Linked DNA regions of Nothobranchius furzeri. The protein of the gene in region 1 interacts with the protein of each later gene in a biochemical or structural test. Links are inferred from orthologs where the notes say so. Each region holds a gene or a part of one and is shown in the gene's direction. Other genes may lie near its edges.

The links. The genes of interacting proteins can lie anywhere in the genome.
Region 2: the proteins of microtubule-associated proteins 1A/1B light chain 3A (region 1) and nbr1a form a complex in vitro, tested with the Homo sapiens proteins (2 studies listed by BioGRID and IntAct). The link is inferred for Nothobranchius furzeri from reciprocal best matches to the Homo sapiens genes MAP1LC3A and NBR1.

What each region holds. Positions count from the first base shown.
Region 1 is NC_091743.1:78,249,206-78,256,009, reverse strand, and holds the start of microtubule-associated proteins 1A/1B light chain 3A, read left to right. Parts: upstream 1-2,547; 5' UTR 2,548-2,550; coding exon 2,551-2,716; intron 2,717-4,066; coding exon 4,067-4,122; intron 4,123-6,648; coding exon 6,649-6,755; intron 6,756-6,804. UniProt on the Homo sapiens protein: Ubiquitin-like modifier involved in formation of autophagosomal vacuoles (autophagosomes). While LC3s are involved in elongation of the phagophore membrane, the GABARAP/GATE-16 subfamily is essential for a later stage in autophagosome maturation.
Region 2 is NC_091756.1:48,483,607-48,489,701, forward strand, and holds part of nbr1a (NBR1 autophagy cargo receptor a), read left to right. Parts: intron 1-1,052; coding exon 1,053-1,172; intron 1,173-1,810; coding exon 1,811-1,886; intron 1,887-2,623; coding exon 2,624-2,737; intron 2,738-5,009; coding exon 5,010-5,186; intron 5,187-5,256; coding exon 5,257-5,427; intron 5,428-5,508; coding exon 5,509-5,657; intron 5,658-6,095. UniProt on the Homo sapiens protein: Ubiquitin-binding autophagy adapter that participates in different processes including host defense or intracellular homeostasis.

The sequences.
Region 1 (6,804 bases):
AGAGTTGTGTTGCTGTTAGCCAATCAGAGGAGAGATGTCCACATATCAGGAAAAGACTCCAGATGCTGCCATCTGAAGCTTCTAGAGACCACTGCAAATGTATGTGTGGCATAAAAATCGACTGACGTTTTATCCAAAACCAGCAACGCCACCTTGGGAATTTCACCCAAGGACTTAGTTTGAAATGACTGTAAGGCACTTGGGTTCGTTTTTGCCCAAGTAGTTGTGGCTTCAGATTGTTAAAACCATTTATTACAACAGAAATTGGAATAATACCCATTAAAAATGACCTAAATCAGTTTAGGACTGACTTTAATGCCCTGGTAAAAACCTCCGAGGTTTACCAGTGGGGCAGGGCTAACCACAGGCCAGTGACAACACCACCCACCACCATGTCACCTGCTGTGGACACACACAGAGAGCATGTGATAAACTTCCACTGTTATGCTGACGTTACTCAGTTATATCTATCCATTAACCCTGATGAACCTAATCAGTTAGTTAGATTACAGGCTTGTCTTGATGGCATAAAAAGTTGGATGACTCAAAACTTTCTGCTTTTAAATCAAGACAAGATAGAAGTTCTAATCTTTGGACCCGAAATTCAGAAAAGGAAACTGCTTAATCAATCACCTGACCTGAACGGCATTAAAATAGTCTCCGAGAACAAAGTAAGGTACCTTGGTGTTATCTTCGACCAGGACATGTCATTCAAATCCCACGTTAAACAGGTTTGTAGGATTTCCGTTTTCCACCTTCGGAATATTGCTAAGATTAGAAGCATCCTTTCCAGTAGTGATACTGAAAAACTAGTTCATGCATTTATTACATCAAGACTGGATTACTGTAATTCATAACTCTCGGGAAGTCCACAGAATGTAGTTAAAAATCTTCAGCTTGTCCAAAATGCTGCAGCTAGAGTTCTGATGAGAATTAAAAAGAGAGATCATATCTCTCCTGTCCTAGCTTTCCTACATTGGCTATCTGTTAAATTCAGAATAGCCTTTAAGATCCTCCTTCTCACACATAAAGCTCTTAATAATAAAGCTCCATCATACATTAGTGATCTGATTGTTCCATACGTTCCTAACCGAGTACTTTGCTCTCAGAGTGCAGGTTTACTGGTGGTTCCCAGAATATCTAAAAATAGGATGGGAGGCAGATATTTTAGCTATCAGGCTCCTCTCTTGTGGAACCAGCTCCCAGCTTTAGTCCGTGAGGCAGACACCGTCTCTACTTTTAAGACTAGGCTAGGTTATCCAGAGTTATCTCTGTAGATATGCTGCTATAGGCTTAGAATGCTGGAGGACATACTGACCACTTTCCACACTCTACTACTTTCTTCTACAATCTGCTCTTTAACTGCATTATTTCCTGCTATTTCAGCTGTTAACTTTATTTTTACTCTTAAGTGTTTTCCTCCCCAGAAGAAGCTACAATGATGTTCTGCTGAGCTGTAGTGGCCTCATGGAGGGGGCCATTGGCTAGCACACTGCTGCTAACCACTTCTCCCTCTCCTGACAATAACATTTTACTCTCTTTGACATTGAATGTGCTACTCCTAGTTTACCAGATTAATTATAGATTCACTAGGATAAATACAATAAAGTTTATCTCACCAAATAGAATGTTTACTAAGAAACACAAAATTCCTGTTAAAAGGGAGTTTTTCTCTGCACTGTCGCTGCATTCTTAGTATGAGGTGACTCGATGCAACCTGCTGGGTTCCTTAAATAGGAAACTTTTTACTGATTGGCTTAATGACCTGACCTGTATTGGAATGTTTACTGTGTGAAGGTCCTTGAGACGACTCTGGTCCTGATTTGATGCTTTATAAATAAACTTGAATTGAATTGTAGAGCGCCATGTTCTTTCCAATTTTCTAGAGTTTTGTTTTAAAGTTTGTAAATCAGAATTAAACCAGGGAGCCAACTTCCTGTGCTTAATTACCTTTTTTAAAGGGGCAACATCATCTAATGCCACACGTAAAGAAGTAACATTATGAACTAAATCATCAATTTGTGAGGGGCTAGAAATGAAAATATTGCCCTCTGCTACAGTCCTCTGAGATGCTGAGGACAGTAAAGATGGAATAATTGATTTAAAAGATGCAACAGCCTTGTCAGATAAAGACAGACTATAGTGAAATTTACTTTCATGTCTCTAGAACTCAGTTATAAAAAAACTCAAAGGTGATCAAAAAGTGGTCCGAGAGGACTGGATTATGTGGAAATATCGTTATTTTCCTCACACTCTATGCCATAAATCAGCACAAGGTTTAATGTATGATGCCAGGAGTGGGTGGAGCTATGCATTCTTTGGGTAAAACCAGTATATTACTAAAGGCTACACTGAGGCTATCATTTTCAATGTCCACATGAATGTTAAAATCCCCCACTACCATGACCTTATCAGTATTTAGCACCAAATCAGATAAAAATCAGAGATCTGATCCAGAGACGGCCTCAATTTTACTGACAGGAACTGAATAACTTTTCTGAATATTAAATGACAACTTGGCTTGCCTCACTCACCTCCATAAGGCAGCGGATGACGTCAGCGCGTCAGATTACTGGCTTTGTTTGTACGGAGCTGCTGCGGAGCTTCAGACCGAGCCATCTGAAACCCTCCCAGGGCCGTTTTCATCACCTTCTTTCGCCTGAAGCCGCTGCCGGGATGCCGTCGGACCGACCGTTCAAGCAGCGGAGAACGTTCGGTAAGACGGTGCTGTCTACAGCTAGCGTTAGTGCGTTTCAATGCGTAGGTTCACACCGGATTTAACGTGTTTACATGTGTTGATGGTCGGTCTGTAGCTTCACGGTAAACGGGGTCAATGTGACGCCGCAGCCTTTACACAACCGGATCAGCTCCGTGACCCACCGCGAGGCCAAAACAACAAGTTGTGCTGAAACATGACCCCTACACGTATTCTCTGATTAAATCGGTCACCTGACAGGAGGGGAGGAGTCTGGCAGTGACCCGCTCACCTGAACGGACCAGCTGTCAGTGTCAGAAACATGAATATCAAAGCAAGGTGAGAACTATGTAGATGAACACCTGGAACGGGTTGATAGAAAGCTCTAAAACTGGAGTTTCACCTGGAACACCCTAACATCTCTGACTGGAACCACAGGATGATGTCATCAGGAAGAGACCCATCCGGCCAATGGCGAAAATGATAACCACGATTATTTTGGTTGATGCAAATATATCGCGGGATCAGGTCGCGAGGCAGTAGTCTAAGCAGGGAGGCCCAAGCTTGAAATCAGGTGTGTTGAAACTGGGAAAACACTAAAACATGTGGGATAGTGGGCCTTGAGGACCAGAGTTTGACACCCATGCTAAGGTCCAGAACGTGGTTATGATGGTTTCATTTAGAAATGAGTTTCATCCATCCTCTTCCGTTTATCTGGAATCTGGTCATGGGGGGCAGCAGCCTAAGCAGGGAGCCCAGACTTCCCTCTCCCCAGCCACTTGGGCCAGCTTCTCCGGGGAATCCCAAGGCGTTCCCTGGCCAGCTGAGAAACATAGTCCCCTCAGTGTGTCCTGGGTCTTCCTTTAGGTCTTCTCCCAGTTGGATGTGCCTGGATAACCTCACCAGGGAGGCGTCCAGGAGGCACCCCAACTAGAAGCCCGGGCCACTTCAACCGGCTCCTCTCGATGTGGAGGAGAGGCGGGTCTAGTCCGAGCTCCTCCCGGATGACTGAGCTTCTCACCCTATCTATAATTCCGTTTATTTATAAAGCGCCAAATCCCGACAAGTCCTCTTAAGGCGCTTCTCAAAGTAAACATTCCAATAGTTCAGTTCATTAATGCAATCAGTAAAAAGTTTCCTATATAAGTAACCCAGCAGGTTGCATCGAGTCACTGACTTGTGTCAGAGACTTCACAGGAAGAAACCTCCAGAGGATCCTGGATCAGCATAAGCAGCCATCTGCAGTGACACACGGAGTCGAAAGCCTACCATCCAAAATGGCTGCAATATGGCCACCAATCCAAAACACATCTTCTCTTGTTGCTGTAAACTTCCTAATCTCATCATGCTGTCTATTTGTTTTGTCGACAGCTGATCGATGCAAAGAGGTCCAGCAGATCCGAGAGCAGCACCCAAACAAGATCCCTGTAAGCTGCACACGCACGAACCTGGGGGGTAGTCCACAAAGCGAGTTTAGAACATCGATGCCTTCCTGATAAATGCCTGCCTAACAAAGTGCATCTGTGCACTCAAGGATCTGTCGGTTCCACCGACTATGCTCAGGTGGATTCAGTTCTCTTTAATTCAAGTGAACCTCACAGGCAGCCTCTGTTAATTGATGCTGGATAACTGAGAAGGGAAGCAAAGTGTTTTGCTCTTCTCTTAGACGGAACATTCATGCCCACGAGGACTATCTGAACTAAAACAGAGACCGCCAGCTGCTTGGTTATAGCCATGTATCTGGCGCTATTTAAGCCGAGCTTATGCTTCTGAGTGTGCGTCGGTACCAAGGGATCAAGGCCGCTGGCTTTGCTCCAGCATGGAAGTACCAAAAATTACAGTTCCACCCTCATCCGCTAGGGGCTAGTACCAAAACAGAGCAAGTTCCCTTTGACTCCCATGTTAAAAAAGCCAGTTTCACAGCATAAATAAACACATTTACAGCCTGGTTCAAAAAGCCATTCTAGGTTTGACTGATCTTTCTAACATTTATGACAACTCTGAGGGGGTGAGTTATTTTATAACTCTTTGACTGTAATTAAATGCTTGAAATTATGAATAATTATTGAGCACCAGAGCTACAAGCTAGCTCTAGGAAAGGCCTCATGTTAATGGACGTTCGGCCATTTTGACTCTGAACTTTAGCTGTGTCCTCTGTGGGTTTGTGCTTGGATGTAAGGGACAGCAGCAGCTCAGGAGGTAGAGTGGGTTGTCCAGTAATCGGAAGGTTGCAGGTTCAATCCCGGCTCAGACCAGAGAATTCTGTCATTGTGTCCTTGGGCAACACACTTAACTCGCCTTGCTGGAGGTGGTCGGAGGGACCGGTGGCGCCTGTGTTCAGCAGCCTCGCCTCTGTCAGTGCGCCCCAGGGCAGCTTTAGCTACGATGTAGTTCATCACCACCAGCGTATGAATGGGTGAATGACTGTGTTGTGAAGCGCCTTGGGGGGTTGTAGAACCCTAAGGCACTATACAGATACAGGCTATTTACCATTTAATCATCGGATTATTTACCATACCATACCATACCAATTTTATTTATATAGCACATTTAAACACGGCATGAGAGCCGACCAAAGTGCTGAACAAAACACACAATAAAAACAATCAAAAATAAAAACTAAATCCATTAAAATCAAGTAATCCAACCCTAAAAGGAAAGGTAGAAAGGGAATAAGTTAGACAGAATTAAAAGCCAGAGAATAAAAGTGAGTTTTTAAACGAGACTTAAAAAGGGAAAGAGAGGAAGAGAGTCTGATCGGGAGGGGCAAGTGGTTCCAGAGCTTCGGTGCACAAACTGAAAAGGCGCGCTCCCCGCGGGACTTACAGCGAGAGCTAGGGACATGTAGGAGGTGTTGGTCAGCTGATCGGAGAGATCTTGTAGGGACATATGGGTGAATGAGCTCAGACAAGTAGCCAGGTGCTAAGTTATTTAGGGATTTAAACACAAAAACCAGGATCTTAAACTCTATCCGGAGATGGATGGGGAGCCAATGAAGATTTGCTAAAACCGGTGTGATGTGTTCCCGCTGCCTGGTGCCAGTCAAGAAACGAGCTGCTGCGTTCTGCACAAGCTGAAGTTGAGCGAGAGTGGAGGAGGAGATACCGTATAGCACTGAGTTAGAGTAGTCGAGACGGGAAGTAATAAATGCATGGACAACTGAATGAAGATGACGCCTTTTTAAAATGGGCTTAACTTTAGAGAGACGCCTCAGGTGGTAATAACAGATCTTAACTACCTGGTTGACATGAATGTCCATTTTTAGTTTAGCGTTCATCACAACCCCTAAGTTTGTGACACGGTTTTTCAACCCACTTGTGATAAATGGAAGGGTCAGTTGGGGACTTTGAGAAGTACCAGGGCTGAAAATGATGGCCTCTGTCTTAGCGTCGTTCAGCAAAAGAAAGTTTTCTGACAGCCAGCTCTTCACATCATTACAGCATTCAACAAGGGGCAGTAAGGAGTCATTAGGCTTCACAGAGGCATATAATTGGCAATCGTCTGCATAAAAATGGTAATCAATGTGGTGTTTTTTAAAAATGTCACCCAGGGGCAAAATATATAAATTAAATAAAAGGGGTCCAAGAATAGAGCCCTGGGGAACACCACAAGTCAAAGCCGCAGAGGGGGAGGCAGCACTACCCATCATAACATTAAAGGTGCGGTCACAGAAGTAGGACCTAAACCAGTCTAAGGCAGTCCCCTGGATTATTTGGACACAGAGGGCAAGCTGCGGTTGCTGACGGCACTAACAGGTCATCCAAGCAGTTTCTGCTTCTTTTTTATCAGCAAGTAAAATTATTTTTCTGTACTTTATTTCCCTGATTGAAGGGGGGGGGGGGGGGGGGGGGGCTGTGAATTTAACATAACACTGCTTGGTCAAGGATATTTGAGAGCTCTCCAACAGGCTTGCAAGGCACAGTCTGTTAAACGTCGTGGTTTCATGTGTGCAGGTGATCATCGAGCGGTATAAGGGTGAGAAACAGCTGCCAGTTTTGGACAAAACCAAGTTCCTGGTACCGGATCACGTCAACATGAGCGAGCTGGTGAAGATCATCAGGTAAACTGAAACCTGTCTGCCGAGTGGCCTGTTGGGAGGCTCAGCTTCT
Region 2 (6,095 bases), on another chromosome or scaffold:
ATGAGTGTATATACTCGTATATAATGCCATCACTGCGTCATAACCCCTCACCCTCAGGAACAGATACACAAATGGCAATGGGATGAAAGAAGAAATCTGTTGTTATAATGGGGTCGGTTTTACTTAGACTGATACTGATGTTTAAAAAATTTACTAACATCAGTCGATATTGATGATAATGTTGGTATATCGTGCATCCCTACTTTAAATTAGTCTTTAATCATTTTAATTTTAGGGAAATTTTCAAACAAAAGCAAAATCTGCTTTGTGCTTCTGTGATATACATTTCCTTCTCCACAATGTATGTCACAAAAGGCTAAAGTGTAATTGTAGCCCTCAGATAACTTTCTATTTGAATGAATAATTAACAGCACCGATGCGGCAATTAGGATTTAAGAGCTAAAGGAAATAAACATCATTTAAGGTAGTGTATGTTCTTATTTTGTTTTCTGCATCTCTCTAGTATCTGCACAAGAGTCTCTGTACTTAGATCTCAACATGAATTAGAACAGGGCTTCCTACACTGGTATCTCACTGGGCTGCAACAGAGGCACAAAACTGCCAGACCATATCAGATTTTTAATTTGGAATCACAACAGTTGTTTGTATGGCACTTCTGCAAAAGGTTTTCTATGCTCAGGTCCCACGAGGCCCAACTACAAACAAATAACAACTTTGGTAACATTTAATTTATTTTTGATGTCAAACTTGCTTTGCAGAAGCATCCCAAACCCTCCCATCTTTGTTTCACTTTCAGACTGAGAAGCTGAATTAAAATGGTTCAAGTGAACTTTTTTAAGAGGATATTTTTCTTGATCAACATTTCAGTGACTCAAGCAGGAGGAGGTCGAGAGCCCTGGTGAAGATTTGATGCGTTTTGGGAACTCCCTCGTGTTTATTTGTTGCCCAGTGAGATTCTGGGAAGTTAAAAATCTCTTTAAAATAAGAGTAATTGAAACTCTTTGGTATTTTGAGGATGCTAGAATGTAAGTGGGAATGTTTGATTGGACTTTGTAGTGACGCTACTGACGCCCTTCCTGTTTGTGCTTTAGAAGGAGGAAGTGAAGCCAGTGGAGAAGGAGGTAAGAACCAGGGACAGTGGCTGTGCCTTCACTGTAGACCTCCCCCATGAAGACTACTACTTTCCATCAGTCGACCTGCTGACTGCACAGGTGCACACTCGGAGAGCCCAGACACCTTTTAACATCAGATTTTAGTCTTGTTTTATTCCACCGTTTAAGAAAGAATGTGCACCTCAGTTGGAGGCACACAGTTTAGCTATGCAGCACATGTAAGTGGTGCAGTTTCCCTCTCCAAACTGGTTGTCACAAGCCTTTTATTATATTTCTAAATTTCACAAATGTGGATAAAGTTGAGTTTTATTTCAAAACAAGCAGCCGCATGTTCTACTCCTCTTTGTTGCACTCAAAAGCTAGTGTTTGTGTTGTTTCTGACTTTCTTCCTGGCTCATGGTGGCATTCAGATCACCATGAGCAGGAACACGTCATTCTGTGTCCTAACACCATCTGTTGTTTTTAGCCCCACAGTCATGAACACGTGACTTTTAATGTTGTGTTTGCCCAACAGGTTCAGATTTTTGATCATGTGAGAAAAGACTGAAATCAATTGTCCAACCAGACTTGTCTTCAACACTCTTGATCCTTGAACTGTTCCTCCAGCTACAGATTTGCTAATTTTTTCAGTTTAATATTGGATTACTTCTTTTTCTATTGCAGTACTGTGAAAAATTAGTTTTACGTTTGAATATCAGATTAATATTAAGTGTCTCTTTTCTGTTTTATCATCTTAGGATCTACTGTCTTTTGAACTGCTGGACATTAATATTGTACAAGAGTTGGAAAAGGTTCCCAACAACACTCCTGTGGGTGAGTCACGCCTGATGCTTCAAACTTTAGTGGCATGAGATTTCACCTGAGCCGCTGGTTTATTATTATTATTATTATTTTTATTACTACCGTAATTTCCGGACAATAGAGCGCACCTCAATATAAACCGCACCGGGCTAAAAGCCGCAGATATCTACTGAATTGAAACGTAGTTTAACTGAACGTAACTGAACTGATCAGTAGCAAACAAAACAGAAAAGTTATTGATTAGTTTATTCATCGTCCTCCTGCGCACTGAAACCACTGAAGTCATCTTCATCAGTGTCGGAGTTGAACAGCCTCAGAAGAGCTTCGTCACATACCTTTTCTGTGGCGGTGTCAGTGTCGCTCTCCGTGTTGCTGTCATCATCCCGGGGTGAAGCTGGGAAAACAAGCAGCGCCGTTTTACTGTGAATAAAATCCTCCTGGGCGCTTTCCGTAGCACTCCTTCAACCATTCCTTCATTAGACTTTCCAGCATCCATCCTTTCTGGTTGACTAAAGCCGCACCTCATTATAAGCCGCGTGGTTCAAAGCGTGGGAAAAAGTAGCGGCTTATAGTCCGGAAAATACGGTATTATTATTATTTAGTTTGCTGCCTCCTTCCCTCTAAATCTCTTAAGAGCCAAATAGGAGAAGCTGGTGCTGTGCTTCATCTTTTCCAACGTTATTCTCACCTGTAGAGATCATTTTCACATGTTGGCACATAAAGCGAGTCGTGCTGGTGTTTATTTCTAGACTTGACTCCCTGCATATCGCCTCTTCCCCACGATGCACCGGTGTTGGAGAAGTCCGTTGTTACACCAATGAAAGAAGACCCCCCTGAGACCACGGGAGTCAGAAAACTTTTTGGTGAGTCTTGCAGCACAACTCAGGAGTGTTTCTTTGAATAGTTGAAATAAGATCCTTGAAGGGGAGCTGACCCCATTTCTTACCAAGATCATCTGAGAAAAAACTGATTTAAAATAGTTTTGGTCAAATGAATATAACGGGCAAAAGGTAAGTAAATTGTATTTATATAGATAGCACTTAACACAGACAGAGAATCATAAAGTGCTTCACATAGATTCAAACAAAGTCATAAAATCAAAATGATCTCAAAACAGAAATAGATTAACATAAGACAAAATAAAGTCATAAAATGTCATAAACAGATGAAAGATGATTTCAAATTTGAGTTAAAAATAGGAAAATAAAAAGATTTAGGTAAAAGCTGCTATAATAAAAGGGTCTGTTATTTTAAGTGTCCAGTATGTAAATCCTTGTAAGGATAAAGAAAGTTCATTCCAAAGTCAGGGTGCAACAATCTGGAAGCAGTGATCACCTCGACTTTTATATCTGGTCTTTGGAACTTCTAGAACACGTGTCAGACACAAGGCCACATCTGGCCCGCGGAGCATTTTTATGTGGCCCGCGAGAAAAATGTCAAAAATATATTAAAATTGACCCGCCGGCTGATTTTACCGCAAATACTACAACTCCCACGATGCTTTGAGGCATTAGCACAGAGACGAAGCGCCCCCTCCTTTGTGTTTTTTCCAGCGTCTGCTGCCGGTGTCTGCAGCTCCGCTGTCTCTGACAAACTAAACACTCCTCTCACTCAGCGCCGAGTTCACTCAGCTACTTGCCGACGTTGAAGCCCAGAAACGGAGATTTTAACTGCTCAGTAATGTGTTCACGACTGAAACAGAAAGTTTTCCAACTAACTTCCAGACAGAGCTGATCTAACTCCAGCGAGCAGCGACACGCTCAAACCAGCATGACTCTGTGGCTGCTGTCGTTTTTATTTTTCCTCCCCGACACACAACAACGTGGTCAAGCTGCTCAGTCTCCATGTTCATCAGCACAAACCTATGTGAGCACCTGTTGTCATCTAATGTTGTCATTATTATGATGAAGATGAACAAAGCAACAGGAGTCTCCTCCTCAGCTCAGATCAACCCCATGATGCAGGTATCTGGCTGGAACAGGTGAGCATCACAGTAAACCAGTGGAGCAAACTGAGCTTTACATATGTTGGTTTTATGCTCTTTTTCTGCTCCAAAACATGAAAGTTAACAGGTGACATATTGCATTTTCATTTAAGATAAAGTTATATTTTTATTTTGTTGTTGGCCCGTGAGAAAAGATTTAACCTACAGTAAACAGGAAGTGGAAAGGCTGCAGATAGAAGAATAGAATAGAAAATCCCTTTATTGTTCCTCAGTGGGGAAAGCTAGATGTCACAGCAGCGATGACACTTATTACAGGAGAAAAAAAGGAGAATAAAAATAAGAAAAATGAATAAACAAGAAAACATAAATCCTGAATAGATTTAAAAAATGTACCACAAGTAATGAATACCACTGATGCATTTTATTTAAAATTGACTTGCTCGTGTGTAATTTGGTTATTCCACATTCAGTGTTAATGCAAAAATAAGTTTGTTTCCAAATTAAAAGGTTCAAAATTGCATATATTTATGTTTATTTATTTGGCAGACGCTTTTATCCAAAACGACGTACAATTTTTTTAACCTATAGGGCATATGATCTGTAGGGGAAACCGGAGAACCCAGAGGAAACCCACACATGCATGGGAAGAACACGCAACTCCACGCAGAAAGGCTGCAACCAAGTTTCGAACCTGCAACCTTCGTGCTGCGAGGCAACAGTGCTAACAACTGTGCCACCATGCATATATGTTGATACGTAAAGAAAATGTGCAAATTTGCCATCACTTTTTCAAAAAATATTAAGTTTGGCCCGCGACTCCGTCCCAGATTTTCATTTCAGCCCAGTGTGAATTTGATTTTGACACCCATGTTCTAGAAGGTTCTGGCGGGTGGACCTGAGGGCTCTGGTTGGAGCATAAGGCTTTAACTGTTCAGTAATATAGGGAGGATTCTAAAACGAACTCTAAAGTTAATGGGCAACCAGTGCAGAGACATTAGAATAGGAGTGAAAAACACTATCAGCTCCCTTTCACACTGTTTTATCTGCAGATATGTGCTGGTGATGGGATATTAAAGTTGGGGCAGGTTTGAGGATTTGTTAAGTGAATGAATAAAGAGTAATTACTGTTTTACGTGTTAGTTTTTGTTCTGATAGGAAACTGAATCTGTGTCCTGCTTTATTTCTCTGAGGAGTGAAACTGAGGCAGCAGGAGGTGTTGGAGTCTGTGACCCAAGAGGACGAGAAGGAGGAGGAGATCAGCGGAGCTCAGTTCCTGTGTGAGACGGTCATCCGCTCCCTCACTCTGGAGGAAGCCCCCGACCACAGACCGCTACGCAGAGCCCAACATGGCAGCCACAAACAGAAAAGTGAGGCGCCATCATGACTCGGCCTTTGTGGCTAAAATATTCCATGTTTACATTTTCCATCTATTTGCAGGCGTGTCCCGCGACCCAAGCTTCTGTTCAGAGAAAACGGCTGATTCGGAGGACGCTGAGAAGGAAAAAGTGAGACAGGAGGAGATGAATGCCGATCGAGTTGAGAGTTTAGCGCCACCTATGAACAGAAGCCCCAGCCAAAACATGGAGGAAGAGGACGAACCCACGCCAGGTTAGCGAAGAGCGTACAGATCCACGGTGGGTCTGTGGTGGTTCTGCTCCACTGCATTTACATTCTGCTCATTTCTGCCAGTTGTTCTGCTGGAACCAGAGAAACAGAACCTGAACGCCGGTTTGCAGCACGACAACAAGGACAAAGAAGTTTTGCGTACGATGCAAAACATGAAGCCAACTAATGAGCAGAAGCAGGAGGGAGGAGCTAGAGGAGAAGACTGGGACGAGGTTAGTTTGCACCTTACAGGAAGCTCCCGAGAGTTCAGCTGTAACAAAAATAATGTTTGCATCTGCAGACAGATTCACATTTTTACAAATGACCTTTAAAGTAAGTGGATGAACACAAAGTACAATTTTGCTGAATCTTTCATAGATAGTAGCAGGACGTTTGGACCAAAGCTGAGAGGAGATCAGTTGGACTGAAGGGGGAGGAGGTGGTTATTTCCCAGTAATGAAACAGGCTTAACCTTTGTTGTCTCTTTGCAAAAAAACCGGAAAAGCAAGTGGTGTCACTTATTTACATTTCACTTTTCACAAAGCCAAGATACGACCCAGACAACTCCCATCATTTCTCAACATGAGACTGGTTTGAATATCTGGCATGAACGGCAGTAGGTGGAAAGCCTTCCTTCATGGAGTTGTAGACCTTTAGCATTTTTTAGGATT